4 linked regions of the Arabidopsis thaliana genome follow. The protein of the gene in region 1 purifies or fractionates together with the protein of each later gene. This does not show direct contact. Each region holds a gene or a part of one and is shown on either strand. Other genes may lie near its edges. The genes, in order: AT3G09200, AT2G17360, AT5G67630 and AT5G25230.

The links.
Region 2: the proteins of AT3G09200 (region 1) and AT2G17360 fractionate together in Arabidopsis thaliana (co-fractionation; one large-scale study listed by BioGRID). This does not show direct contact.
Region 3: the proteins of AT3G09200 (region 1) and AT5G67630 fractionate together in Arabidopsis thaliana (co-fractionation; one large-scale study listed by BioGRID). This does not show direct contact.
Region 4: the proteins of AT3G09200 (region 1) and AT5G25230 fractionate together in Arabidopsis thaliana (co-fractionation; one large-scale study listed by BioGRID). This does not show direct contact.

The regions. Positions count from the first base shown.
Region 1 is NC_003074.8:2,821,840-2,828,786, reverse strand, and holds AT3G09200 (Ribosomal protein L10 family protein), read left to right. Parts: upstream 1-3,545; 5' UTR 3,546-3,766; coding exon 3,767-4,021; intron 4,022-4,117; coding exon 4,118-4,186; intron 4,187-4,602; coding exon 4,603-4,701; intron 4,702-4,793; coding exon 4,794-5,186; intron 5,187-5,276; coding exon 5,277-5,423; 3' UTR 5,424-5,699; downstream 5,700-6,947. Other genes in the region: LAC7 (laccase 7), read left to right, coding at 148-1,101, 1,223-1,353; PTAC13 (plastid transcriptionally active 13), read left to right, coding at 1,937-2,323, 2,554-2,732, 2,816-3,167, 3,282-3,365; AT3G09190 (Concanavalin A-like lectin family protein), read left to right, coding at 6,100-6,947. UniProt on the Arabidopsis thaliana protein: Ribosomal protein P0 is the functional equivalent of E.coli protein L10.
Region 2 is NC_003071.7:7,542,833-7,549,567, forward strand, and holds AT2G17360 (Ribosomal protein S4 (RPS4A) family protein), read left to right. Parts: upstream 1-3,607; 5' UTR 3,608-3,765; coding exon 3,766-3,768; intron 3,769-4,161; coding exon 4,162-4,239; intron 4,240-4,322; coding exon 4,323-4,503; intron 4,504-4,618; coding exon 4,619-4,716; intron 4,717-4,880; coding exon 4,881-5,306; 3' UTR 5,307-5,574; downstream 5,575-6,735. Other genes in the region: AT2G17340 (pantothenate kinase), read right to left, coding at 48-188, 276-344, 426-492, 669-734, 1,088-1,257; AT2G17350 (beta-mannosyltransferase-like protein), read right to left, coding at 2,871-3,044, 3,137-3,316.
Region 3 is NC_003076.8:26,965,693-26,972,680, reverse strand, and holds AT5G67630 (P-loop containing nucleoside triphosphate hydrolases superfamily protein), read left to right. Parts: upstream 1-3,280; 5' UTR 3,281-3,374; coding exon 3,375-4,123; intron 4,124-4,485; coding exon 4,486-5,146; 3' UTR 5,147-5,303; downstream 5,304-6,988. Other genes in the region: AT5G67640 (uncharacterized protein), read left to right, coding at 2,133-2,237, 2,321-2,369, 2,440-2,766, 3,011-3,135; AT5G67620 (DUF4228 domain protein), read left to right, coding at 6,961-6,988.
Region 4 is NC_003076.8:8,736,696-8,745,643, reverse strand, and holds AT5G25230 (Ribosomal protein S5/Elongation factor G/III/V family protein), read right to left. Parts: upstream 6,100-8,948; 5' UTR 6,025-6,099; intron 5,947-6,024; 5' UTR 5,936-5,946; coding exon 5,237-5,935; intron 5,166-5,236; coding exon 5,097-5,165; intron 5,022-5,096; coding exon 3,828-5,021; intron 3,738-3,827; coding exon 3,639-3,737; intron 3,543-3,638; coding exon 3,384-3,542; intron 3,293-3,383; coding exon 3,207-3,292; intron 3,122-3,206; coding exon 2,923-3,121; intron 2,839-2,922; coding exon 2,728-2,838; intron 2,635-2,727; coding exon 2,428-2,634; intron 2,149-2,427; coding exon 2,050-2,148; 3' UTR 1,764-2,049; downstream 1-1,763. Other genes in the region: KNAT3 (homeobox protein knotted-1-like 3), read right to left, coding at 7,529-7,568, 7,663-7,799, 7,878-8,009, 8,087-8,271, 8,360-8,480, 8,756-8,948. UniProt on the Arabidopsis thaliana protein: Splicing factor involved in pre-mRNA splicing and component of the spliceosome.

The sequences.
Region 1 (6,947 bases):
TTTTTCTTAAGTATAACATACATGGCATTTTTTTTTTTTTTTTTTTTTCTCTAACTTCGCTGCATGAATAAATATTAAGAATTAAATTCACATTCCAAACTTATTAGTTTGCAAATTAACCTTTATTTTCTTAATGAATGAAAATAGGAATGTTTAGCCTAAACGTGGTGAAAGGAAAGAGATACTTACTTCGCATCATAAACGCGGCCATGAACATCCAACTGTTTTTCAAGATAGCCAATCACAGACTGACAGTTGTAGCCGCCGACGCAGTCTACACCGCACCTTACGTCACCGACGTCATTGTCATCGCACCGGGCCAAACCATCGACGCCCTTCTCTTCGCCGATCAGTCCGTCGATACCTCCTACTACATGGCAGCTCACCCTTACGCCAGCGCTCCCGCCGTCCCTTTCCCAAACACCACCACCAGAGGCGTCATTCACTATGGCGGCGCGTCGAAAACAGGGCGATCAAAGCCCGTGTTGATGCCGAAACTACCTTCCTTCTTCGACACGTTAACGGCTTACAGATTCTACTCCAACCTCACTGCCTTAGTCAATGGACCTCACTGGGTTCCAGTTCCACGCTACGTGGACGAAGAGATGCTCGTAACCATCGGTCTTGGGCTAGAGGCATGCGCAGATAACACCACGTGTCCAAAATTCTCAGCTTCTATGAGCAATCACTCTTTCGTGTTACCCAAGAAGCTATCGATCTTGGAAGCAGTGTTTCACGACGTTAAAGGGATTTTCACCGCGGATTTTCCAGACCAGCCTCCGGTTAAGTTTGATTACACGAACCCGAACGTAACCCAAACAAACCCGGGACTTTTGTTCACTCAAAAATCAACTAGCGCCAAGATTTTGAAATTCAATACGACGGTGGAGGTAGTGTTACAGAACCATGCGCTTATAGCGGCGGAGAGTCATCCCATGCATCTACATGGATTTAATTTCCATGTATTGGCTCAAGGGTTTGGTAATTATGACCCGAGCCGTGACCGGAGCAAGTTAAATCTCGTTGACCCGCAATCCCGTAACACTTTGGCTGTCCCTGTTGGTGGATGGGCTGTGATCCGTTTCACTGCTAATAATCCAGGTATAAACTCTCTATCCAATTCCTTAGTTATACTAAAAATGTAATTATATAGTTTAGAGTTTTACAAAGGCTATTATTGTTGTTTATGCATGAAACCTAAATATTGGCTACATTGTTTCAGGTGCGTGGATTTTTCATTGTCATATCGATGTTCACTTACCATTCGGACTAGGGATGATATTTGTGGTTAAGAACGGACCGACCAAGTCGACCACCTTGCCACCGCCACCACCAGATCTTCCCAAATGTTAAGCAAGATAAAAAAAACATATTTCATCGAAAACAATAAAAAGAAGATTATTTAGAGCAAAGAAGACAAAAATTTGTCTCTCTGTCTCACATTTGTTTTGATGTAGTCGGTAAAGAAATTGTATTGTAGTCCATTCATATGTTGTTACCAATTGTGTGTGCTGTGAGTAATTTATATGATTTATTATTATTTTTGTCACTTTTACAAGTTTTAATTTGATATTTTTGAAAAGAACGTCACTTGAACCAAAATAAAAGTTCTACTAATTAAAAACATTTTTATAGAACAAGAAAAAAACAGTTTTTGATAATTTGCATAAGCTAAAAACATTTGTAATCTAGACATTACCCGAAAAATATTTATTCAAAATTTTAAAATACAAAGTTAGTGCCCCATATCTTTGTAAAGTACTCCAATTTTGTGATTTGCAGTTTAATTACTACTTCAATCCGGTAATTTTAATCTGATTTAGTTTCATACCGGCATTTGGGATAAACCGGGTTCCCGGTTAAACAAATTCCAAAACATTATCCAAAACAAACAGAGAATTTTATCAACGGAATTTTCCCAAAAGAAAAACAGAGAATGATGAAGCTGCAAGGGGGACTTCTCCAGTGGAGTCGTAGCAGCTTAATCCCGTCGATTTATACGCCAATCAACAAAACCCAATTCTCTATCGCCGCCTGTGTCATCGAGCGGAACCACCAGCTTACGGCGAAGGAGAGACGGCAGCTCCGGAACGAGCGGCGGGAGAGTAAATTGGGGTATAGCTGGCGAGAAGAAGTTGAAGAAAAGTTGATTAAGAAACCAAAAAAACGGTATGCAACGTGGACGGAGGAGCTGAATTTGGATACTTTGGCTGAGTCGGGTCCGCAATGGTGGGCGGTTAGGGTTTCGAGACTTCGTGGTCATGAGACTGCTCAAATCTTAGCTCGAGCTCTGGCTCGTCAATTCCCTGAAATGGAATTCACGGTAATTGGAATTTTACTGGATATTTGGGTTGTGTTGGGTGATTTTAAAGTTTGGATTTTGACAATGAGATTGGATCAAACTGGTATCTTGATAGAATTGCTGACAAACTCTAAACAGTTGTTGATGGAAAGTGAAAAGATTTGATTTTGGGTTATTGTGTGATCTTTAGAATTTGTGGGGAATTCATACATTGGTATTGAAACAAGTGGCTTTTGAATTTGGTTGTCCAGGTTTATGCACCATCTGTTCAAGTGAAGAGAAAGCTAAAGAACGGTTCTATATCTGTTAAACCGAAACCAGTGTTCCCTGGTTGCATTTTCATCAGATGTATATTGAACAAAGAGATACATGACTCCATAAGAGACGTTGATGGAGTCGGAGGTTTCATAGGTTCAAAAGTTGGAAATACGTGAGTAGTATTCTCACTCTCACTCTCACCCTATGTGTGTTAAGGTCTGTGAATTAATTTGTATCTGCATTTTTTTTTTGTAGCAAGAGACAGATTAATAAACCAAGACCAGTAGATGACAGTGACTTGGAAGCTATTTTCAAACAAGCAAAAGAAGCGCAAGAGAAAGCAGATAGTGAGTTCGAAGAGGCAGATAGAGCTGAAGAAGAAGCGAGTATACTAGCGTCACAGGAACTTCTCGCATTATCTAATTCAGATGTTATTGAGACTGTAGCAGAATCTAAACCGAAACGAGCCCCGAGAAAAGCTACACTTGCTACTGAAACAAAGGCGAAGAAGAAGAAACTTGCAGCGGGTTCTACAGTTAGAGTTTTATCAGGGACATTTGCTGAATTTGTTGGGAACCTAAAGAAACTAAACCGCAAAACTGCAAAGGTACACTAACTAACTACTTCTAGCTCCTTTGTGTTATTGATAACAAAGCTGGTCAATTTGCACAAATGTGTTTGTTTAGATGTCTCTCTGATTCTTTCGTATGGTTGGTTGCAGGCAACGGTGGGATTTACTTTGTTTGGGAAGGAGACACTAGTGGAAATTGACATCAATGAACTTGTTCCTGAGATTCAATCTTAAATAGTTTGTTCACTAGAATGTGAATTTTTTGGTTTGAAATATAAATCCATGATCACTTCACATGTTTTGGAAGTTTTGGTGTGTTTGTTCTGTTAAATTCGCCAAACGATTGCAACGACGACGTTCTATCTTCATTTGAAAGATGAGAGCCTTTACTGGTTAAATGGGCCTAATTTGTGAAAAGGCCCAACAAACAAGAGCCGTCAGATCAGAATGAAGCAAACAGGCACGAACCGTTAGATTAAGATTCACAAAGAAAACCCTAGAGGTTCCCTTATCCTCAGGCCAAATCGTGAACTATAAAACGGCTGATACCAAAACCCTAATTTCTTTACGTCAAACTCTCTCTATACACAGAGTTAAATTGAGTTTGTGTCTCGTAACTTATCCTGTGAGCGAAAATGGTGAAAGCAACTAAGGCAGAGAAGAAGATCGCCTACGATACCAAGCTATGTCAGCTTATCGATGAGTACACCCAGATCTTGGTCGTTGCGGCCGATAACGTCGGATCAACTCAGCTTCAGAACATCAGAAAGGGTCTTCGTGGAGACTCCGTCGTGCTTATGGGGAAGAACACTATGATGAAGCGTTCCGTTAGGATTCACTCTGAGAACACCGGAAACACTGCAATCCTGAATCTGCTTCCTCTCCTTCAGGTAAACTTTCTTAGCTTGTCCAAAATGATTGAGATTTTATCGATGTGTTTGTGTTTAGAAAATAATTTGCGATGGTTCTGTGTTCGTTTTTTGTAGGGAAACGTTGGTTTGATCTTTACCAAAGGTGACCTCAAGGAAGTGAGCGAGGAGGTTGCTAAGTACAAGGTTTGTTAATTGCTCTTGTTTCATATCTTATTTACAAATGTGTGATTATAGCTTCGGATAGTAAGTATCTGATGCATAGAGGAATCATTTCATGCTTACATTAGTTTATACATGTTCTGAATTTACTTGTGTTGCTTTCGATGGTATCTGATGTATAGTGTAATCATTTCTTGCTTACGTTTCTGTTTATATTGCCTGTGTTCCTATGAGTATTACAGTCATCCCAAGTAGAGCTCATCAATTGTGTAAAAAGTTGATGCTTTCTCAATGCGATTGACTTATGTATAATGTTGTTGCTTTCTCAACGTGATTGGATTGTGTAATATGTTGATGCTTTTGCAATATGATTGGGTTAAAATGTTGATACTTTTTCAATGTGATTCGATTGTAATGGAACTTTTCTTATTATGAATCAGGTTGGTGCCCCTGCTCGTGTGGGTTTGGTGGCTCCAATTGATGTGGTTGTCCAACCTGGCAACACTGGTCTCGACCCATCCCAAACATCTTTCTTCCAGGTTTGTTTTAAACTTACATTTAATGTTTGATTTGATTCGTTTGACGACAATTTGAAGTTAATTGAACATGTATGTGTTTTGGATTGTTTTAGGTGCTTAACATCCCAACCAAGATTAACAAGGGTACCGTCGAAATCATCACCCCAGTTGAGCTTATCAAGCAAGGTGACAAGGTCGGGTCTTCTGAGGCTGCGCTTCTAGCCAAGCTTGGCATCAGGCCGTTCTCATATGGTCTTGTTGTCCAGTCTGTCTATGACAATGGCTCAGTCTTCAGCCCAGAGGTTCTTGATCTTACTGAAGACCAACTTGTGGAGAAGTTTGCTTCTGGTATCTCCATGGTCACTTCCTTGGCTCTTGCTGTGTCGTACCCTACCCTTGCTGCTGCACCGCATATGTTCATCAATGCGTACAAGAATGCCTTGGCTATTGCTGTTGCCACTGAGTACACCTTCCCTCAAGCAGAGAAGGTCAAGGAATACTTGAAGGTTAGTATGCATTAAAACTGTGCATCTTTTTCATTTTATTTCGGAAGTTTGGAGTACTGATTTTGTTTATGTTAACTCTCTGGAATGCAGGATCCAAGCAAGTTTGCTGTTGCTTCAGTAGCTGCGGTGTCTGCTGATGCAGGTGGTGGTGCCCCAGCTGCTGCTAAGGTAGAGGAGAAGGAAGAGTCCGACGAAGAAGACTATGGAGGTGATTTCGGTTTGTTCGATGAAGAGTAGATTTTGTCGGTTAAGATCTTACCTTTTTGTCGTGGATTATAAGTGTTGCTTTGTTTTTAGTATGTTGGACCTCAATTTTCTTGGTTTTAGCCAATCCAGTTTTATGTTACTACTGTCTTTTATTTTTTGGAAAGATTTCGTTTTCTTATGGTTGCTTTAATATTTTTCAATAATGTCTGGACGATGAATTTGCAATTTATCTATCCGTCGAGAAAGTTAAGAGCTTCTTATACATGACTTTGATAAAATTTGTATGAAGCAGAATCTTCTTAGATCTACAAGTTGAGTCATTTTATTTCTTAGAAAGTAGGCACAAATGTCATATTCTAAAAGTAAATGAGGCTAAACATGATAGAATGTAATAAAACTGAGATACAAATCAGAAACGGCATTAACCTTAGTCAGCAACCACTACGAGGGAGAAAGTGAGTGGGACTGAGAACGAATCAATCTCTCTGCATGTGTTGATGATATTTAACTTCTTCCTCTGCTTTCTTCGCATAGTTCCACACAAAACAACAAACTTAAATACTTCTTGAAAAAATGGAAGTCATTCTCAAATCCTAGAAATTCCATTTTTAGAAGGAGAAGAGTGAGTGAGTGAGTAAGAGAGAGAGAAGAGCTCGTCTCTGTAGTCATTAAATCAGAGAGAACCAATTTTAGTCTCAGTATAGCTATGGCGATATTCAAAACCCTATCTTTTCTGGTCCTTTTATGCTTTGAGATACATGGAACCGCAGGTGTGGATTTCACGTTTTCATTTGATGAATTCGTAAAATCTCAGAGTTTTGACAAGAGTGTTGCTCTGTTTGGAGATTCGAAGCTGGTCAATGACAGTTCTTCGATTCAGCTGACTGACTCAGTGAATCGGACCGAGGGACGAGTCTTTTACAAGAAACCCATCAATCTATTCCAAGGTAAAGAGAGGAACTCCGTTATTTTCTCGACTTACTTCTCGTTTTCGATGCCCAATGAGATTGGTGATGTCTTGGCTTTTGTAATGGTTCCAAGTACTTTGGATCTTAGTCTGTTTGGTAAGAAAGATTACAGTTCCTCTGCTTTAGGGTTTCTATTAGAGTATGCAAAGAACGAGACAGTTGTTGCTTTTGAGTTTGATATCTCCAAGAGAGGAAACCGTGCAAGAGTCTTAATTGGTAGACCTGAGTCTGCCAAAATTAGAAACCTTTCGTTTGTGGGTGACTTGATGATGGATGATGGAGGGATTTTGAGCTGTATGATTGATTATGAGGCAAGTTCTAAGAGAATGAGGGTTCGTTTCAGAAAACGTGGTTCGATAAAGATGTTTGATCCGTTCTTCTCTTTCTCGGTAGACTTGGAGAAGCTTTGGAAAGGTGGTGAAGTCATGGTGGGTTTAAGCTCTGCTAATGGGAACTCTTCCAAGCCACATTTTCTCCATTCATGGAGCTTTGAAATATGGCATCTTGATCCGATATGGGTGCAACCAGCGCCATTAGGACCAAATGAAGGTTTGAAGCCGGACGTTTCCACGGAAATGGAAGAGGG
Region 2 (6,735 bases), on another chromosome or scaffold:
GACATGCTTGCTGTGGGAGATACCAAAGAGAGGCGATTGAAAGATACCTGTGCAGAACCAAGATCAAAGATGTTTCCAGCAAATATCCCTCTCACCAAATTCTCTAACCGTTTTCCGTCATCTTCAATAGCATCACTCAGACTGACAACTTGAGGAAATAGTGATATAGCCTTTGCATTCTCCTCATCCTATTCATTGAATGTGAACTCATCTAATCAGAGAGAATAAGTGCTAGCTATCTGAAAACCTCAAGAAAACTGAAAGGAAATTCACACCTTAACTTTCTTGAATATGTCCCTAAATCCTAACTCTCTGAGTACTTGCTCACGAAGTCGGCATAGAAGCTGAAAATAAGCCAAGATAATCTATGAAAAGAAGAAAGCTCACTACACCAAAGGAAAAGATCATGTGGTGTTTATACTTACAATGCCATCTGGTGGTCCGCCATGACTCTCTGGATCTTTCTTCAAGTCTTCAAGAATCCCAGCATATCTTTCAGATTCAAGGTAAGAGATATTAAACGCAAATCAAAAGACTGAAACACTATCTTGAGAATCAAACAAACCACAGGGCACAGCCTTTGTTCTACTTTATGAAGGTGACAATGACAAAAGATTTCATACCAACCAAAACCTTGAGAATTACTACCAATTATGCAAAAAATTTACCTTTCTGCAAATTTTTCAGCTCTAGCAGGAGCATCTGGAACAGTGATATCGCTCTCTGCACGTTTCCTGTAAATGAAACAGCTTTAGAACATAGAGATTTAATGGGATTTTCTGGTTAAAAAACAGGATTGCAACTGTTGCCTATAAGCTTCCAGAAACTACTCTTGATGTAAATAAGTCAAAAACCAAGTAAACCCAGGAAAGTCAACACAAACAACAAACCAACGACATTAGTCGAATTTAGCTGAAAGACGAAAAGTTTCCTGAGCTTTTTGATATTTGAGGCTAAGAGAAGTAGTTTTTTGGTAACAAAATCAAAGCTTGGTCTGACCCATGAACATGAACAGAGTCTGAATCTGGTCAAAGTAAATAGAAACTAAATAAGGTCGGAAGAGAGAAGTAGTGAGAAGAGAATGAACTTGAAAGAAGGAATGGAATTGGCGAAGACGTTGATCCACGAGATTTCATTTGGAGTGGCTTTCTTGGGATCATCAGAAGGAAATCTGTAAGGAATTGTGCAAGCTCTGTAGTTGTTTTCTATTGGCATCGGTAGTTGAGGAAACGGAACCATCTCTGAATCGCTCTCCATTTTCTTTGCTTGTGATGATCTTCAGAAATGATACAATGATTGATGACGATGAAGAACAAGTGTATCTAGAGCCGGGTCGGGTACGGGTCAAAGATCCATATTAGTGATTCCACTACCACACGAATAAATGTTGCATTTTTTGCTTTGGGTTTGGTTTGGATTTAGTTAAATAGTAGCCAAGTTCCTATCTTTGTGGTGTTTGTTTCTGCAAAGTTAAGTTTTTTGTTCTATACTAATCAGTCATCTTTGGTCTTCAAATGATTTGATACCTTATCTGTGGTCGGCTATATTAGCTCGAGCAGCAATCTGAATTGTAGAAACCATTGAAACTCTGGCAAAACTTGCTGTTTGCTGCCCGTATAACCGTATTTGTCGAACATAATATCAATGCCCTCTTGGATTAAGGAGTAACCTGTTTTGGTAAGGAAGCTGGAGATTATAGAAAACATTCATATGCCATAAAGAAGTTCAATTTTGCAGGAGTTTACAATTGTAATCAGCTACTTATCATAAGTGGTAAAACCACACCTAGGCACCTTGACAAGCAAAGAAGCTCTCCCAATTAGAGTGATCCAATACCAACCTAGCCACAACACCTACTGCTTGAATAAAGCCACTGAGGTACAAGTTTGTTTTAGATTTAACTCAAAGAGAGAATGTTAAAAGTAGAGAAAAACATATGGATATTTCCTTTTCATAGATGCATACCGATGTCGGACACAATTCTGAGTCAAGCAAATCTAACAGGACCAGGAAAAAAACTCATCCTTCGGAATAAGATATACAAACCTAGATAAAGAAATTAAGAAACAGCAAGAATATGGAAATAGGTACACTGTACCACAATGTTAGTTCCAGCAGCAAAGCAATTATTACTATTGTAACATAGTGGATAATGGAACCTAGCTCATCTGTCTGGCTATCTGCTTAAACACTAACAAGCCCACTCATACGGGCACAACCTTCTACTTCTTCCCTATGTTCTGAAAAGTGAAACCCCTTAGGTTTGCTACTGGGTGCTGCTTTGCCAAAAGACCAAGCTAACTATAACAGGAGAAGAAATTCTAAATGCTAGTATCTCCCTAATCCCTACCCAAAAACATTTGTTTATTGTCTCTCATCAATCACCATAAATCATGATAGATACTAACACCAATAATCACTCACTCATGCATCCTAGCATCTTTACCCTGGCCACCTTTCATTCTCTTCATGCCACAAGATGTTTACACATTCAAGCAAAACCACATGAAAAATCCTTAAGAACAGAAGAAAACGGAAAGATATGTTCCGGTGTTGCCCCTGTATTTCCTACAAACATCTATACTAATCAAACTAAACCCATCATTCACACATACCGTGATCTAAAAACCTGAATTTCAACATGTCACACAGCAATCAACAAAAGTTTGAATAGAGCAAGAAAGCACCTTGAGGCTTGAAGTGATCAGACAAACTCTCTTTCCAGAAAACACAATACTTTCTTCATTGAATTAATAATTTACACAAACCAAGCATCATTCCAACAATTCCCATTGCATCCATCATAAACGCAAGAACAAATCTTTTCCTTTTGTGCCCTAAATTTAGAATCCAGATTCCAATTTCCAACCTCATTTCTTAGCCTTAGAGAATCTAAGACACCGATATTTCTCACCACTCACAGTAATTTCCAGAGCACCATCTTGATTATCCTGATTCGACGCAGTCCCCATAAGAACACTCTTCTCCTTCTCCAGATTCTCTCTCTCCATCTTCAACCTCGCTTCCTGTCTAGCGATCTCCGTCTGTCAAAATCAGAACAAAATCAGTATCCCCACACAGATTTCTCCGGATTCTCCAAAAGCCCTAAAAATCAAAATTTGAAAAAAAAACGAACCTCACGGCGAGAGAGCTCAGCTTTCCAGGCAGCTTCTCGCTCAGCGACTTCACGCTCACGCTCTTCTATATAACTCTGCATCTCTCTCTCCTTCATGATCCGATCTTGTATATCAGCGTCAAGTGCTTGCTTAAGCTCCTCCACAAACTTATCCACCACTAATTTAATTCTCAGCGACATCGTCTTCGAAGCAAATTCTAACTATATACAAAATCTCCTCCTTCCTCACACTAAACGCTGCTACACATAAATACAATCTCCTCCTTCTTCTGGTTTTCCGTCTTTTACTTACGGCGGCGCTTTACCGACGGCGAGATTCCGATCTTTTCTCGTTGAAGCTTGCGTGAGAACTGAGGAAGAAAGGGACAGAGACATTCACGACCTTTTGTTTTTTTTTCCGCTTTCTAATCTTCTTCAGAGTGGGAAAAATAAATAAAAGCGGGCTCTTATTGGGCCTATATTGGGCCTGTACTTAACATAAGTCACACGTGTGGCAGCGGATTTTTGGATTACACATGTTAAAAACTTAAAATTAGGGCTTTGTGTTTCGCTTCTTCTCAAACCCTAGAAGATATAATTGAGACTGGCTTGCTTAGCCGCGGAGAACTCAGAACTCATTCGCTGCAAACATGGTTCGTAATCTTCGTCTCTTTCTCTAAGTCTCGTATTCACAAGCGTATTGCGTCATGTGTTTGTTTTGGTTTTGGATAGTTTGTCTCCATCTGTGAATTCATTTTGTGCGGGATTATAAAATCTCTCTTTGTAATCTAGATAGCATTTCCATGTAATTATGGGTAATTGTTAATGTTTATAAAGTGAATTCCTTTGTGCGATCTGTAAAATGGGTTAGGGATTGATATTGAGATCTCAAAAGATAGGACTCAATTAGTCAGATATGAAACCTCCCTGGCGTTATTCTCTTGTTCTGTGACTTGAGGTCTTGAGTGATGAGACTTTTAGTGATTGAGCTATTATAAACATTTATTGTGTTTTGATTTTTATTTTTGTTCGATATTCTTTTGCAGGCAAGAGGTTTGAAGAAGCATTTGAAGAGGCTCAATGCTCCTAAGCATTGGATGCTTGATAAACTTGGTGGTGCCTTTGTAAGTTTCACTTGTGTTGGATTGAATCTTATTAGAGCTTAGTTTTCGTTTGATTCGGTGCTTATAATGCTATTTCTGTCCAGGCCCCCAAGCCGTCTTCTGGGCCACACAAGTCTAGGGAGTGTTTACCCTTGGTCCTTATCATCAGGAACAGGTTGAAGTATGCTCTGACATACAGAGAAGTGATTTCGATCTTGATGCAAAGGCATATTCAGGTTGATGGGAAAGTGAGGACTGACAAGACTTACCCTGCTGGTTTCATGGGTGAGTCTGTTAGTGTTGTGATACGTTTTCAGAGTCTGGCTATAGTCCTTGTGCTGATTGATTTTTATGCTTCTTGTGATCAATGATCTAACTAAGGATAAATATTTATTTACAGATGTTGTGTCTATCCCCAAAACAAATGAGAACTTCCGTCTTTTGTATGACACCAAGGGACGTTTCCGTCTCCACTCCATCAAGGATGAGGAGGCTAAGGTTTGTTCTCCTAAATCTCTTACATTGCCATATACTGAATCTGTCAAAACAAAGTCAAGTCTTTATTCATTGCTCTATACTTACATTAGAGGTCTGCTGAATTTGCATGTTGATTACCAGTTTGTAATATATTCCAACAAGTATCCTCTTTTGTTGTTGTGCAGTTCAAGCTTTGCAAAGTGAGATCGATCCAATTTGGTCAGAAGGGTATTCCCTACTTGAACACATATGATGGTCGCACCATCCGTTATCCTGACCCGCTCATCAAGCCTAACGACACCATCAAGCTCGACCTTGAGGAGAACAAGATTGTGGAGTTCATTAAGTTTGATGTGGGCAACGTAGTTATGGTCACTGGAGGAAGAAACAGAGGGCGTGTTGGTGTGATTAAGAACCGTGAGAAACACAAGGGTAGCTTTGAAACCATCCACATTCAAGACTCAACAGGACATGAGTTTGCAACAAGGTTGGGAAATGTGTACACAATCGGTAAGGGAACAAAGCCATGGGTGTCCCTTCCAAAGGGTAAAGGTATTAAGTTGACCATCATTGAGGAAGCCAGGAAGAGACTTTCTGCTCAACAAGCTTGATAGTTAATACTATGCTCTGTTTTCCAGTTTCAGAACAAACCATGCTTTAGTTTGCAGCTTTTCAATGAGTCACTTTTGTTTTAAAACTTATCTTTTCGGATTGTTATGAGCTATATTTTGGACCTTTTGCGCTATTAATATTAAGTTTGAACTCAACCTTGTTTCTTCAGATAGTTATTGAATTGCTTCGTAGTATTTAGGGGCCATTTTGTTAATGTTAGGGTCTTAGGGAGATCACAACTTCTGCTAAACAACAGTAAGATAAATGTATCACTTAAACATGTGGTAACATTCTGATTGATGTTTCAAATTTCCGATCTCGATGTCATATTTCGGTGTGGGAGACAAAACAAGGTTTATGGGTTTGCTCTAGAAAGTCTTACATTGATTATGGTGCACAAGCATACGTGTCTGCTTTAAGAATACTGAAGTCATGTTGATATCGTTATTGTCGCTAGCTTCACGTGGTAGTTGTGGCGAGTGTTATTTTAAAATCGTTAGTAGAAGTTGCTCAAAGATTCTTCTCCTTGGTGACTTGGTCAAACAAAAAATCCTACAAAATGAGAAGAAGATAACAACAAAAACGACACTGAAGTCAATGTCGAACCAAGTGCCTCGGAAATGCAACTACAGTCAGGTATATTGATTGAAAACAATGTATCTCTTGTATGAAATCAAACGCCATGCATGAATCTGTTTTAAGCTTGGGGAAATTATAAGAGTAAATCAAGAAAAATATTCTAGATGATAGAAGCATAGAACATTGATCATGTAACTTCATGACAACAAGAAATTGTCTTCGAATCTTTTTTGATGGTTTTTCTACATTCAAGTTAAAAAAAATGTCATTTGATGTGAACCGGTTCGACTTAGCATATGGTTAATTGAAATCCAGCAAAATAAGAAAAGACTTGAGAATATCTAAAGCCAAAACTGCTGAATTCCAAAAGCCAAAATAGGTGTTAACTTATGGTGGATATAAATATAAATCATAGAGAAAATTTTACGGAGATTGAATAATTAATACCCGCAAAAGGATCGGGAAACTGAATAGCAAAAAGACGAGAGAGAATGAGATTTTACTTCTTTATAATTGAAGTTATGCGAATGTTGTGTATTTTTACAATGAACGGTTTATCGTTCTTTATATAGAGATAAAAAAAAAGATAAAATTTACTGTGTTGGCATAGTAACATTTAAATTTTAAACTACATCACTAAATAATTAGCTTTGAAAGAATATATATTTCTCTTAGTTTTTTTTCTTTTCTTTTTAAGTTATTATTAAGAATGTGGCCAAATTTACCCAAGAGTTAAAATTTTGTCCCATCCTTTATATTTTAAGGAAAAAATTAATAGTTTTAGAGATTGATTTTTACCATTTCAATTTGGGGGAAAAAAATAACAATCTAAAAGCATTGAAGGTTTGA
Region 3 (6,988 bases), on another chromosome or scaffold:
AGAAAAGTATTTCAGTTGTTGGATGCGCGGGAGGGGAAAATAGTGTACTGCTGATGGGCTCTACGCTTGGGCTTTTATCTTCTTGGCCCAGTATTGTTGAGTTGTTGTTTGTCTTGTTGTGGGCCTTATTGTGGCCCAAATAGTGGGCCGAGTAACATGTGCAACTTTATCTTTGATCACATAAAGATAGAGTTGGTGTTTAGTAGCTGCTACTCCCACCACCATTGACATTGTTTTATGTTTCTCCGCATAGCCAAGTTGTGAGGTTATCTCTTCTCGCAAGATAAAAGGCTAAAGAAGTTTTTGCTTATCAATACACACTCTACGGACAGTTTACGGTGTAAGCGACAACAAACCAGTTTCATGAGCATCGTCTTCCCCATATGAAGCTAGTTCTTCTTCATCCTCACTTCTTTCGGCAAGCTATAAATAAGTCTAAAGATGTTGTACTAATCTGTGGAGCCATGCCGGATATGACGAAGTTACACCATCACCGCCTACTTGATCTCTCCATTCTAGAAAATCTTTTTGTGAACAGAGGGAATCATAAGAACAGAGTGAAGTGTGTTTTCTCGTCCATGTTTTGATGTCTTATATGGGCGTTTCAATGGACTTTGGTGAAGTGCAGATAGTGAGAGTCTAAAATGCTTTTTGTTTTGTCTATTTTGCTCAACATCTGGTGCCTCCATTTGAATCTTTATTGGAAAGTGGCTTTGTTGGCTGGGAGACTTCTACATTTTTTTGGCTGCTGTGGGATACTTTTTCATTTGTGGCTTCTAAAAAGAGAAGAGAAGATGTGTTTATCAAACACTTGGGGTTCTACGTTGGGGTCGCAACATGTCTTAGGTGGAAGGATAATGTGTTGAATTGTAACGAGATCAACACTTGTGGACTTTTCGGAAATCATACTATTCACGAGAACAGTCGCTTTTTGGTTGTAATGAGTTCTTTCGACGCCGTACCTTTTGTCGGTGACTTGTCAAAGGTCCACATTTTGCACCACCACCAGGATCTTGTCAACATCAAGTCAGCATTGAGTGGAGCTTCTAAATGGGTAAACAGAACTGTTCGTAACCCACAATCGGATTTCTGTTACATGTCCACAATATTTATGTGTTGGAGTGACGTTGCTTACACAACAAGCAAGCTCTTGACATGTGAACATGAATGCAGTCAATGTTGTGTTCATGTGAAAGTTACTTGATTTCAGCTTGGATATGCAGGCAACAATTAAATGGAGAGGAAAGATCTGCGAGGTGATGAGTTTATCCAAAAAGACAGAGGATATCTTGGTCACATGTGTTCAAGGAATCTTGGAATTCATTTAACAAAGTTTTTATATGGAGGAAGCTTTAGCAAGTCGCTCTTGAGGCTGAAAAGGAAACGCCATAAAGTTCTTAAGAGAAAGTATTATGAATTGGTGGACAAAGGATGTCTTCAAAGATTTCAGATTTGGGTCGAATCTTTCTAACCCAGAAGGGCTGATGCAGCGTATCTCAAAGACGAACGTGTTGTTCGTCCCGTTTGGGCTGGCTCGTTGTTTGGGTTTTGTTTCTCATGGGCTTCATGTTTATTTAGCCTTTTAGTACTTGTATTCGTTTGCTTCTCTTTTATGTTAGTTTTTTTTTTTATCTTTCTCTTATTTGAAAAGACGTAATTTAGTATTGTAATTAGTTTTGATTATTGATTAAAGAGTTTTAAAGAGTGTTTTGTGTAAAGCCTATAAAAAAGGACTCCTAACCCTAAGAGCTTGTGTTCAAGCCCTGTAAGGAGGACTTGCAAAACCTTGTCGATATCGATCCCTTAGAATCGATCTCGATCTTATCATTTATTGCTTCTTCGTCAAGTTTTGACGTTTTAGCAAGATCTATTCGTGAATCCGACTTTTCCTGCAATCATGGAATAAGAATGTGTTTTTTTTTAAAATGTGTTTATTAAAGAAAGAAGGAAAAAAAAAGTTTTAGTTACATTTGACGTGAACTCTTTGACTTGTGTGGGTGCAATACTATATCAAAAAAATTGGGAGTAGTAATACAGTTACCACTAAAGTTTAGGGACATAATGAACAAAAAAAAAAAAAAAAGTTACACATCTTATGAATTAGACGGAGATTTCGCTGCCAAGTGCCGACGATGCGACGGCGAGAAGAAAAGCGTCGAGAATTTCACGAAGCTCTTCTTCAAACACTGTATCCTCCTTCATCGCCACCTTCTTCTCCTTCCTATTCTCCGCCTCCGGTATTTTCTCAATCTCTATTTGTGTCAATTTGTTAGTTCTCGATTGGGTTATGAATCGATAAATGTTCCCGCCATTGTTTCAGGTGGAGGTTGTTGATAACGAACCATTCGATGTGTCACTCATAAACCCAGGTACGATTAATGTAATCTTAACAAGTTATTTACACTTTGGAAGTCACATTCAAATTTGTTTATTATTCAGAGGATTACTTGAAAATCGATTCATCTAATCACGGAGAAGACAAAGAAATCGGAGACGAATTGGGGATTGCAGAGAAACAGAGTCGAGCGCAGAGAAAGAGGTTAAGGAAGAAGATGCTCAAAGAGGAAGCAGCTCGACGGAAGAAAGTCATCGGACCTTTACTTCCGACTGAAATGCTTCAGACCCATGATGAAAGAAGTGTCGGAGATGCTTGTGGGAGCAATGTTGAAGAAGAAGATTCTGACGGTGGCGAAGAAGAGGTTGATGGGAGCATTAGCAACATATGCTCACAACTTGTTCGACCAAATGCCCAAGAGAAGAAAGAAGGTACACACAGCTTTTGACTTTTTTGACGATATCCTTAGTTTCAAATCTTTTGGGAAAAATTCGTACTTTATCTAACTAGATTTCATAACACATGTACGTATTCAGATCAAGGGTTTGACTTTAATCAAAATCTACTAGCTCATCAAGTTGTTGTCTCATTGTTGGTCCTGTGCAAATTACTCAAACGTTCTCTTTTGTGTATTAATTACATTACGCGTCTGACTCTTTATTTTTTGTTTGGTAGGACTAATCGGTGACAATGATAAGACGAGAAAAGTCAAGAAGAGAAGAAATGCTAAGAAACTGGCCAAAGAGAGTTCTAAGAATATCCAGGATGGATCCAATGCAATCCCTGAAATTCCTAATTAGGGTTCAAATTATCACAGACCTTTATCTAAGAGTTAATTACTTCATCTTTAATAATTCAAGGGTATATTACTAAATTTATAATTCTCGTCTATAAGATTTGTGAGTTCCTTTTATGCCCTTGTTAAGAGGATTTAACTCTTACATCGTCATTGCCATTGTGTAGCTTTTCTCTAAACCCTAAAACCTTAACTTTTTGCTCTTCTCCCTCCGCCTCAATCGCACGAAGACGATAATCGAATATGGCGGAACTAAAGCTATCAGAGAGTCGGGACTTAACCAGAGTCGAGCGAATCGGCGCACACTCACACATCAGAGGACTAGGTCTCGACTCTGCCCTCGAGCCGCGAGCTGTTTCCGAAGGTATGGTCGGTCAAGTGAAGGCGCGTAAAGCCGCCGGTGTAATCCTTCAGATGATTAGAGAAGGGAAAATCGCGGGTCGGGCTATTCTAATAGCGGGTCAACCCGGAACGGGTAAGACAGCGATTGCAATGGGTATGGCGAAATCTCTTGGCTTGGAAACTCCTTTTGCGATGATTGCAGGAAGTGAAATTTTCTCATTAGAGATGTCAAAGACAGAAGCTTTGACTCAGTCTTTTCGTAAAGCGATTGGTGTTAGGATCAAAGAAGAGACAGAGGTTATTGAAGGAGAAGTTGTTGAGGTTCAGATTGATAGGCCTGCTTCTTCTGGTGTTGCTTCCAAGTCAGGGAAGATGACTATGAAAACGACTGATATGGAAACTGTGTATGATATGGGAGCTAAGATGATTGAGGCTTTGAACAAGGAGAAAGTGCAGAGTGGTGATGTTATTGCCATTGATAAAGCTACTGGGAAGATTACTAAGCTTGGAAGATCGTTTTCGAGGTCTCGTGATTATGATGCTATGGGTGCGCAGACCAAGTTTGTGCAGTGCCCTGAAGGTGAGTTGCAGAAGAGGAAAGAGGTTGTACATTGTGTCACTCTTCACGAGATTGATGTTATCAACAGCAGGTACTTTTAACATTCCCTGAATTGTAAACATTGGTAATCATGATTTGGTATCTGCAATACCAATGTAGGTTGCAAAATTGAAGTTTTAGTGATTAGGTGATTGGGAATTTAGTTGATTTGGCTCACTAATTTCAGATGAGATGTCTCAAATTTGAGATTAATTCATTGCTTTATATGCTCTTGAAATTCTCAAGCTCATTTTCTTTAGCAGTGTGTAGTCAGAGCACTCTTTATAACTATAACTAACTCATCTGTTTGTGGTATCGTTAGAACCAATTTTGGTTGCGGAATTTAATGTTTGAAACATGATTGGTAGAACAAAAAAAAGTAACTTTGTGTACTTCTTCTTTGTTTGCTTGCAGGACACAAGGGTTTCTTGCCCTTTTCACTGGCGATACTGGAGAAATCCGATCAGAAGTCCGGGAACAAATTGATACAAAAGTAGCTGAATGGAGAGAAGAAGGAAAAGCAGAGATAGTTCCCGGAGTTCTCTTCATTGATGAAGTCCACATGCTCGACATCGAATGCTTCTCATTCCTTAACCGAGCTCTAGAAAACGAAATGTCACCAATCCTTGTGGTGGCAACAAACCGAGGAGTGACGACAATCCGTGGCACAAACCAGAAATCACCACACGGGATCCCGATTGATCTCCTTGACCGTCTTCTCATCATCACTACCCAACCTTACACAGACGATGACATAAGGAAGATATTAGAAATCCGTTGCCAAGAGGAAGACGTTGAGATGAACGAAGAGGCCAAACAGCTTTTGACATTGATCGGACGTGATACATCTCTAAGGTATGCGATTCATCTTATAACCGCAGCTGCATTGTCATGCCAGAAACGGAAAGGGAAAGTCGTGGAGGTTGAGGATATTCAGAGAGTTTACAGACTGTTCTTGGATGTGAGGAGATCGATGCAGTATCTTGTTGAGTATCAGAGTCAGTATATGTTCAGTGAACCAATCAAAAACGATGAAGCTGCTGCAGAAGACGAACAAGATGCTATGCAGATCTGAGGATCCACCTCTGTTTGCCTTATTTATCATGTTTCGTGGTGATATGTATGATTAGGATGTTGAACTCGGATTTATGTTTTTTTTTTTTTAAGTTGTGACGAGATTCGGTTCTAGAAAATGATTTAACCAAGTTCAATACAGATCGGTTTGGTACAAATTTGATTTTGTTTGGATTTGGTCAACTTATTTCGGTTCGGTTAGACTAGACTGTAGGAGATGGTTTTACTAAATTAGTCTGGCCCGTTAAGACTTTATATGGGCTTTAAGCCCAATATTGACGAGTATAGTGAATCTCTCTCTTATCATTAAATACATGTAAGCGTGTGTTGTTCGCAAAATTTGACACGCATGCAAGTCTCTACCATCAGAGTAAATTAATTACGAGTGTTCTCTTACCAGACTTCATCGGTTTTTGGTGGCGTGTTTTGGTGTAACGAATTTATTTTGCTTGGTCGGGTCAATTTCAACTTATTTAGTGAAATATTATCTAAATTTATGAATAAACGTGTGTCCTTGAATTTCTTGAATAAAGATTTCAAAACAAACGGCTTTGTAGAACAAGAGTTAATGATAGAAGGCCAAACAAATTGTTCCAAACTCATGGATTGAATTAATCTAATTTACACATCGCTTGCAAGTAATTAGAAAAAACAAACATCACACGCTGGTGAATCCAACCAAAAATATGCATTATAAAAAGTCGAACAAATCTATTGACAGTAAAGAGTCGCAGTGTCTTTAGGTACTCTGCCATTGTGACATCTGATTCAACTCGTCATGGGTCCCATACTACATTTTATCATTCTCACTGTTACCGTAACTCTGAATCAACAGCTTCCTTTGGAACAGCCTTTATTTGTAATAGTACTTTTTATTCTTCGAAACAATCGGATTGTGATATGATGCGGATTGTGATATGATGAAAAAAACAAAAAAACAATCGGATTGTGATAAGAAATATGTGAATGAATATTCAAATAAATCAAATCCATAAAGATTTTGTTATCAACTACACTTTAGTTCAAATAACATGTAAAATTGGACATAGTTTTACGTGTTGCTCGGATATCATTTCAGAGATTCGTATCACACATTGAAGCCATAAAAACAGCAATCAATCCATACATAAAACAAATTACATAAAGTTAAAAAAAAAAAAAAAAAAAAAAAACTTTGATCATATTGAAAATATTTCTTAATTATTTATTATTTCCCCTTTAATTAGTTATCAAATCATCAATATATTACTTTCTAAATGAAAATTGTTGAATAGTATTAGTAAAAGATGGTTATTGATTAAATTTTACAGTCTAGTTTGGTTTTTAATTAGATACCATAACCTCTAGTCAACTTAATAATTCAAGAGAATGAAACATGTTGTTAATTAATTCATTGGTTGCGATATGCAAGATCCTTAATAACATTTATTAATTTCATATAAAATTCAAATGTCATTATCATTATACATCAGAAATAAAATAAATAGATCTACCACTCCCAACCTCTTTATTTATTCGTCTCATTGCTTAATCTCTTGTGTCGACATCTTAATTTACAAATTCTATCTTTCTGTTATTTTCTTCTTCTTCTTCCTCTTTTTATTTTCTAAATTTATTTGTTTGTGTTTAATCCTTTTTATCGATCTCAAGCGACCTCTTTGTCAAACCTGACAATCCCAAATGATGAAGAATTCTGACGTCGCTATTTATTAAAACCAAAACAATCTCTTCTTATATACTTTAGTTTCAGACAGGAACCCAACAAAAAAATCAAAACTCTTTTCTCTTTTCTTTTTTTTTGCAAAAAAAATAAAAATGGGGAATTGTCAAGCGGCCGAAGCAG
Region 4 (8,948 bases), on another chromosome or scaffold:
AACAATTTAATATTTTATTTACGAAATCAATTAAATCTTAATCACATAAAAATTAGCACAAAAAAAAATATTCAACAATTAAAAAGTAACAAATCTCTGTGTTATATAAGTTTTGATACTATATTCGAATAAAGTGTAATATACCTTTTCAATTTGTATTCTTTAACTAATTTAAGCTAACAAATATATTTGCTAATCTTATACCTATCAAAACCGACAATCGTTTCTTATCTCTATAGTATTTTTGCAAGACTTTTTTGGTGGATTTGGATAAAAGTGCGTTCGGCTCATATGGTACATTCTCCTATTAAATAAATATGGTGCACTCCTATGTTATTAACTAAAATGTTTAGATTATAATTCAGAGTCATATCATTAATAAAAATAATATTAATAAATAAATGGCTTTTTGGCAAGACGGATTTAGAGGGACGGGTTTTTGAATCAACATTAATAAAAAAATAAAATATAATTAATCCACCGTTTCAATACGGGTTAAATCTTTAATTTATTATTTTCTAAGACCACTAATATTAAACATATCAAATCATCCTAATTTAGAAAAAATTATATAAAACAAAAAATGTTATGTGGTATGTATAATGTTACTATATATAAAATTAAACTATAAAATATAAATGTATTAGAAAATGATACAATTTGCAAAACTTTTATATATAAAAAATAATTCTTAAATTTTAAAAATTACTACTTAAAAAAAAAATCACAGGACGGGTAAAGAAATTACAGAACGGGTTTTATTTTAGAATTGAGTTATATGGCGGATGTATTTGAATTAATATTTATAAAATTTTAAAATATTATTAATATGCTGTTTTAGTAGGGGTTAAAACTTCAGTTTTTTAACAATTGTCTCATGGATTCGTGGTATAGCGTTAGTTAATAACAATTATAAATTGTAAAATATAATATTTTATAAAATAAAATTTGCAAGTTTTAATATATATTACTTTAAAAAAATAAATCGTCCCGCGGTATACCGCGGGTTAAAATCTAGTATATACTCCATAAGGGAATACAATTAATTTCGTATTAAATTAGGTTTAACTTGTTCGATTGCCCACTAATTAGAGTAATGTTTTATTAGTATAAAACTAGAACATTGCTTTATTTGTTGTTTTACTGATACACTTGGTTTATATGTTTATCTTGAATATATTGGTACCTATCCCGAATATACGTGTGCTTATCTAACTGAGATATATATAAACAACTTATTAGATTTTCACTAAAGTTAATTGGTGTAAATTTAAAAATGTGAAATGCCCAATTTGGACGATAGAGATATTTAAAACTCGAACATGGTATAGCTATAGTAAAAATAAAATAAAATACAAAGCTAAAGTGTTTGCAAAGTGATCATGTGTTGTTGAAATGAGTTGTGATATGAATGGCAAAAAATTTAGCCCACGTATAAAAGTTTGGATTAGTCATAGTATACAAAGCCTCTTTACTATAAGCTATAACTCAATCAGAACATTTCGTGGAGTTCCAAAATCCGAAAGTAATACTTCCATCCACTTGAACTTGCATAAGTTGTGTCAAGAGGACACTCAAGTACATCTTTGTGTTGCCAAAAAGATTATGAAACGAACGCAGATGCTAATATGCTATATAAGGACTGAGTCTATATCTAAACCAGTAAAAAGTAAAAAAGTTTTCAAATACTTGTGAATCTCTGTATCATGTGCATAACTAAGCATTAATACATTATAACCTAGTTCAGTTTCCAATAGTCCAATCTATGATTGGTTAGTTGTCACTTCCATTACCATAATTGAATTCGCTTACAATTTACAAAACTTTATGAACATTTCCCGTAAACTGTTTGTGAGTCATGCGTGAGTGTGACCATGTGGACTGTTTAGTTCATTAAAATCTCTCAACTTTAAACGTAAATTTGACACATGAATTACAAAATTGATCCACATTTTCTTGTTCTCCTTTCACATGTATAGAGAAGAGAATATAACTAGTACTAGTCTTGAATCATAGGCTCACGATTGATATGAAAAAGTGCAGAGATGATCAAATCATCTGCAGATGGAGATCGCCTGTTTGCTGGGCAAGCTCTACCATCATCGCTTCATCAAAGAATTTATTCCCGCTGACATCTTCGCTCATTCCCTGCAATACCAACAAATTATACACACATACGGTGAGAGCCTGAAACTGAGGATCCAAACAACCAATGAGTCTACCATATAACTAGCCTAGGCAAATTATAGCTGGTGCTACTTGGTTAAAGCGTAATTAGTAAGGGCTGTTTGTATTTTGGTTTGTGGGAGTTTTCTGGGGTCATTTCAACAAACACTAGAGTAATAAAGCAGTTTACGGTTTCATTTTGTATCAGAAACCGCATCAAAGTTTTGGCATGAGCACTAAAACAAAGGAAATAATAAATACCTTTCTACGGCGGGTCTTGACCATGAATTCCCGAGCTAGATGCTGAATAGGGGCGGGTTCAAGTGGGCGCAATTGGATGGCTTTGTCTAGAGGGTCTCCAGGGACTATGGCCCAATGATCAAACACAGATAGGCAAAAGGCTTGGCCCTGAGTGTGGTACCTCAGATCTGTCTCAAACCCAAACGACTCTATCACAGGCAGAAAAGCCTGCATCAACACCACTCAATGAATCATCATCATTCACTCAAATAACAGGAACAAAGTAAGGAAGGAGAAAGACACAAACAAAACAAAACTAACCTTCACGATATAAGCAGGAGTACCGGGTTGTGGAACATCAGATGTGACATACCCACGTCTACGTGACAAAACTGTGTAGATGGCAGTTACACAGTCTATTGGTGTTTGTATCTGAAGACAAAAACCATAACTACTCTTATTTATCATTCTAAAGAAAAAATTGTGAAGAGCAAAAATGGAAAGAGATATATGTACCTCCACATAGTAGACAGGTTCCATTAGCCTTGGAGTTGCCATAAGAAAGGCTGAATATGCAACACGTCTTGCCGTTGGAATCATCTGACCAGATCCTCTATGCAACGGCTCAGGTGCTATCCGTGCATCAACAATCTTGAACTTTACATTTCTGATGGGCTCATCACAGAGGGGACCTTCACGAGCACCCCACTGGAACCTGCAAAAGGAATATAAACGAAGCCACTTAGCTAAAGCCAACAAAATCGAGACAAAGAAAAGTGTGACAGAAGAAAGATGATCACCCTTGAACAATGGAGTCTTTCACTCCCATCATCAAGTTCCTGTCCACCTCAGTTGGAAGGGTGTCATCCAATAATATGTTTGTCCCCTGATTAGGAAGAAAATCAATAACCATCAGTGAAATAATCAAAACCAACCACAATTGCAGTTTATTAAGAATATAAGCAATGCATTTTCACCTGTTTGTCAGGGCCAAAAGCCCAGATGGAACGTGCAGCAAGTAAATCCCAGTCATATTTCGTCCTGAAGAAGTCACCAAGTTGTACTCTGTTCCAGTCAATGCTTACAACGCCATTCTCAATATCCTCTGCAAGTCCTCTATCCAATGGCTCTGCAATCTTTAGCATGAAACATAATCAGTCACAATGAGCACAATAAGAAACATCGCAGTCTAATATCTAAGGGATAATAGTGGAAAAAGGAATATCTCTTACCATAGTTAGTTTGTTCTTTTTGTTTGGTGTCTCAGCAAAGCACTTCATTGACGAAGATTCAACCACTGTCTCACAGAAGGAGACCACAGGATCTGCAACCTACAAATTTAAGAAAGCGAGAGGAAACAAACAAATCTTAGTAATCAGTTGCACAACGAAATCATAGTCATAGAGCCAAATTAGAGATACCTTTACTTGGACCTCTGAATAGAGTTCCCTGAGGTCCTTGATGATGGAATCCAAGTACAACTCACCTGTGCCTAGAATAGTATGTTCCCCAGACTCCTCAACTTTGGTTATCGCAAGGGGATAGCTTTTGCTAATTTTCCTAAGCCCTTCCACCATTTTAGGCAGCTCACTAGGATTCAAAGGCTCAGTTGCAGTCTTGACTACTGGGAGGGTATTAAATTTGAGAGCCCGGAATATGTAGACATCTTCATCATAACTTGCATTACACAGAGTTGCAGTTTTCATGATGGATGCATCGACACCTTCAATTAAAACCCAAGAACCGGGAGGGGCACTGCTTACTGGTATTCTATACCTAGCTTGATATATCCATAGCTTCGTGACTTCTTTTATAGTCATGTCCTCCTCATCCTCAGGTGAATACCCTTCTCCTAGTACACGTACGCTTTGCCCTGTTTGAAGCCTACCACTATAAACTCTTCCAAACACATCAAAAACACTAGTATCTGATTTGGGGTACAACTTTGTCACATTAACCATGAGAGGTCCAGATGGATCACATTCTACCATTGATTCATAAATGGGAGAATCTTTGGTTCCAGTGTATGAATGGTCCACTTTCCTAGCTGCAGCCTCTCTGGGTGAAGGAATGTGCTTTACCAACATATCAGTGAACCCTGATGCCGAACCAAACACTGAACTACAGGCTAACCTAAGTAAAGGTCTGACGTTCAGCTTATATGCACTATTACTCAGAGTCACTCCTAATTCTGCAAGGGTGGTCTCTACACTCTTCTTATGTTCACCTATCACTTGGCTGTATATCTTGTATAGAGGCTCCAGAATAAACTGAACAAATGCTCTTTCTCCACCACCTACTGGAGGACTTGTATTGAATACCCTAGTATCAGGGTGATAATATACATCTCCCCAAAGTCTAGATGCAAACTTATCCACGTCCATGGCCACACCATGAAGCTTGGCATACATTCTAGCAAAAGATTGTAATGTGAAGGACCATCCGGCTGTACCACTGGCGAAACATACATTTCCAGCTGCAGGGTCTATAAGAGGTAAGTCTGCAGCATTTGTTGAAGCAGCAGATATATGGTTATTAATGACTTCAATTGTATACCTCAGCTTGTAGTAAGCATCCCTTGGAGGTAGTTTGAGCTCAGTTATGAGCCTGTCAACCTGTTGGGCAGACAAAAAGCAAAGGTCAAGCAAATGTATGAAAATATAAAATTTCACACTTTAGGCATGATGTACCTTATTGATCACAACAACAATAGGGAGATGATCCTGGATTGCATGCCGTATAGCTCTCTCTGTGTTTACCTGAAAAAAGATTAATAGCGTTAGTACTACAAATAGTATACTTGAAAAAAGAGAGAGTAAAGACTAGTTACCATGACTCCTTGAGCAGCATCAACAATGAAAACAGCACCATCAGCAAGTCTTAAAGAAGCAGTCATTTCGTCAGAGAAATTGACATTTCCAGGTGTATCCATGATATTGCACAGGTATGATTTGGATCTACTGTCCTCAAGGACAAGAGACATTGGAACCGCCTTGATAGATATATTTCTCTCCTGCTCATCGACTCTTGTGTCCGTATATCTCATATGCTTGTCGTTTTCAGCATTAAAAGTAGACATACGATGCGTCTGCTCTACCAACATATCCATGAAGACAGTTTTGCCGTGCTGGAGATGCCCCACAAGAGCAACATTCCTCACAAGCGCAGGATTAGACATGAGGCCGATAAGAAACAGTGTTGACACATACGTTGTTGTTTGATCCTTGATGACCCCCACCTCAAATCTAATATCTCTAACGGGTTTGATAATGGGTTGCTCAAGAGACTGCTCATCTTCATCCATAACCAAGGTCTCAACATCCTCACCATAAACCTCCTTAGCAATAGGGTAGTACTTCTTATCCTCAGGAAGAACAATATTTTGGTTCTCATTGATAGTGGTAATCCAGCCATTAGAACCCCCAGGCTCTTGGAGATCTTCATCTTCTACACTATCATCACTATCTCTGTCAGATTCAATCTCAGGTCCAATATAGTTACCACACTCACCATACAAGCTACCATCCATCTTTATGTCACCTGTCAAAAAGGAATCTCATGAACTAGCAATCAGAATTTTGTAACGGCCAAATCAAGCACAAAATGTCAGAGACGAACCGGTGGGGCGAGAGAGCGAGAGGCGGTGCGAAAGCTAGAGGAAAATGCGGGTTGGCTCCGTGATAGGGTTTGTCGCCACTGTTTCTGCTATGTGAACGGAGTCGTCGTCGGAAGATTTAAATAGGTCTTTGATTCAAAATAGCGCATTTTTAGATTGATGGGCCAGGTCCAATATCTGTCAATCGGCCCAATTTTGTAAATTGAAACGTCTAAAGTGTAAACCAGAACGTAAACCGGGTTGTATATTGAAAGCTGCAATTTGAAGAAGAAACAAAGCATAACAAGATGGTGGTGGTTATAATGATTACATGAAGACAGTTCTTTACCCTACAGTTGGTAAAAGACCTAATTTGGCTTCTCTAGTTGGTGGGTGATAACGGTAAACTTTTGAATATCACTGTGAAGCATCGTCCAAGAGACCAAAACTCCGATTATTATTTGAATTTAGAAGACTAACACATACTAATGTTAGACTTCGTTTATCAAACCATTTATACAATCCAAATGACAATTCTCTAAGTTAACAACTTTGATGTTCATTACAAAACTACTTATATGAATCTACTTTCCTAGATTTAATCTAATGTACTAATGGGCTTCTCATGAGACTAGTCTTTGAACTTTGTATGGTCCTCTAATAGAGAGGCGACCAAAATACTTAAGGACACTCTAATTATCTTTGTTAATGTGTGCAGAATCTCTCCGTGATCGATAGAAAAATCTCGCCGAAAACTTACAGTAACTTGTGGCTATCACAAACGTGACAAACGAAACAACAAGATGAGGATAAACAAACAATTTTGACTAGAAAAAAGAACACGTTTCAAATTATTACAATTACAAAAGTACGCAGCAAGCTACGTTATGTAAGATGGGGTATGTTTTATTTTTTGTCGTCATCTACCATGTATAATGTCTTTTACTTATCAAGCCAATATCACGAGTTGGAATGTGACATCGCAATAAATACTACGAACTAAGCGGATAAGAATCATAAGATGGGTTAAGTACGGTTAATGCGAAACATATACTGTATAATAGTCACATAGATTAAGCTAACCAAGTGGTGCGATACAAATTAACATATGCACCTGGTCAATGCGTAACATATACTAGTAGATTAAGAAAACTTGTGCATCCCAATGTTCTCCTCTCTCACTATCTTTATTCACAAGATATATTATGGATGATGATGATGATTATCTGATGGTTCATAAAAAAAAAACTCATGCAGACAAACAAACAAAAAACATTAAACAAAAGCCTGCATCTTCAGTTTTCATATTTTCTTTTTGGTTTGTGTGCTACTTAATAAAATATATGGGCATAATCACATAACCAAACTACGTTACTATGTAATTGCACAAAAAGTTACTTTCTAATACTGTCCCCTCTCTCTGTATAATCCAAACTCCTCCATAAAATTCTCAACTTTAAATCCCTAAAACCCTGCTTTCAAATCCCATCTTCCACCTCCCCAATTCACATCATATGTTTGTTGTTTCTACGCGAACCGCTCTCTTCCGCTATTGTCACCTGCATTGCTTTCATCAGACAAACAAAAGTTTCAGTCTTCTTTGAGTCCGATCCATAAGTTTTTCGGTTATGTTACAAGACTATATTAAAGTATAATAATACCTTTTGCGTTTGTTCTTCAATACAGTGGAAGAAGATGGATTGCTATGCCAGTTCCTCTTTCTCTGATTGATGAACCAATTGTTTATCTGTTTTAGCTGCAAACCTGTCTCTTGCACCAACCTCGCCTTATCTTCCTCCTACAAACCAATATTTGGTTATGGCTCAATGAATGAACTTGAAGAAGTTATAAAGAGATGTTAGATGAGTGAACTCACAGTAGGGTAAGGCCATTTGGAATGAGATTGCCACCAAGCTTTGAGAACAGAGGTGGTATCTCCTGGTAACTTCCCAGCTCTTCTCTTCCTTAATATCTCCTCTCTTATGTCTACTATCTTCTCCTTGTAACCCTTTTCATCAACAAGACAAAGCCCTCTACATTGTTAGTTCATGAACTAGTTCAAAGAACAAGTTTGTTGATTATTACCTGTTTGAGTTCATGTTTAAGTTCTTGTCTAACTCTTTCCATCAACGACCTCTCACTCTCAGTAGGAATCAAAGGACCAAAACCCAACACATCTAATCCCCCATCGAACATATTAGCATCACTCTCTACTTGTTCATCTTCATCGTCAGACATTGTTGCTCCCATCCCTTCTCCAGGAGACACTCCTAATCTCACCAATAAAACACAAAACTTGTCAATGTCATAAAACTAACTATTGGATTCATGAGCTAATCACAGGATTCATTTTCTCACCTGTTAAGCTTTGAAGAGACTGCTCAATCTCCCAACAAGCCATCACAGCTTCCATTGCATGAACACGCACATGTTGTTGCAATTGCTCTTTAAATGAACACAGTAGCAACACATAATGTGTCTACACCATAAAAAAAACATTAATCAAACACACAATAAACACAAAGAACAAAATTTGTATTTTCTTCATCATCATGACCATTATTATATCATAAGCTCTTTTTTTGGGATTTTAGTCTTGTTTATCCCTAAAAACACAAATCTTGATTTTAATATTTTAAGATTTCAAAAATCAAGAAACCTAAGTCGGTGTGTATTATTAAAATTTGTGCTAAGTATAATTATGAAATCGTTAATTATAAAATTATAGAACAAAAAAATCTGAAATTTATATACCATGAACTGGTCAAGTTCTTTATCGTCGCCGACGAGACCTTGAGCGGCGGCGCCTAAAGCTGAGTATTTAGCGACGACGTGTTGAGACTGAGCAAGCTGAGCATCGATTCTCGGAAGCTGATCAACCGGAGTCGCGATTCTCAAACAAGCAACGTGCGCCGACAAAAGCTGCTCGTAAAGAGGATGCGAAAGG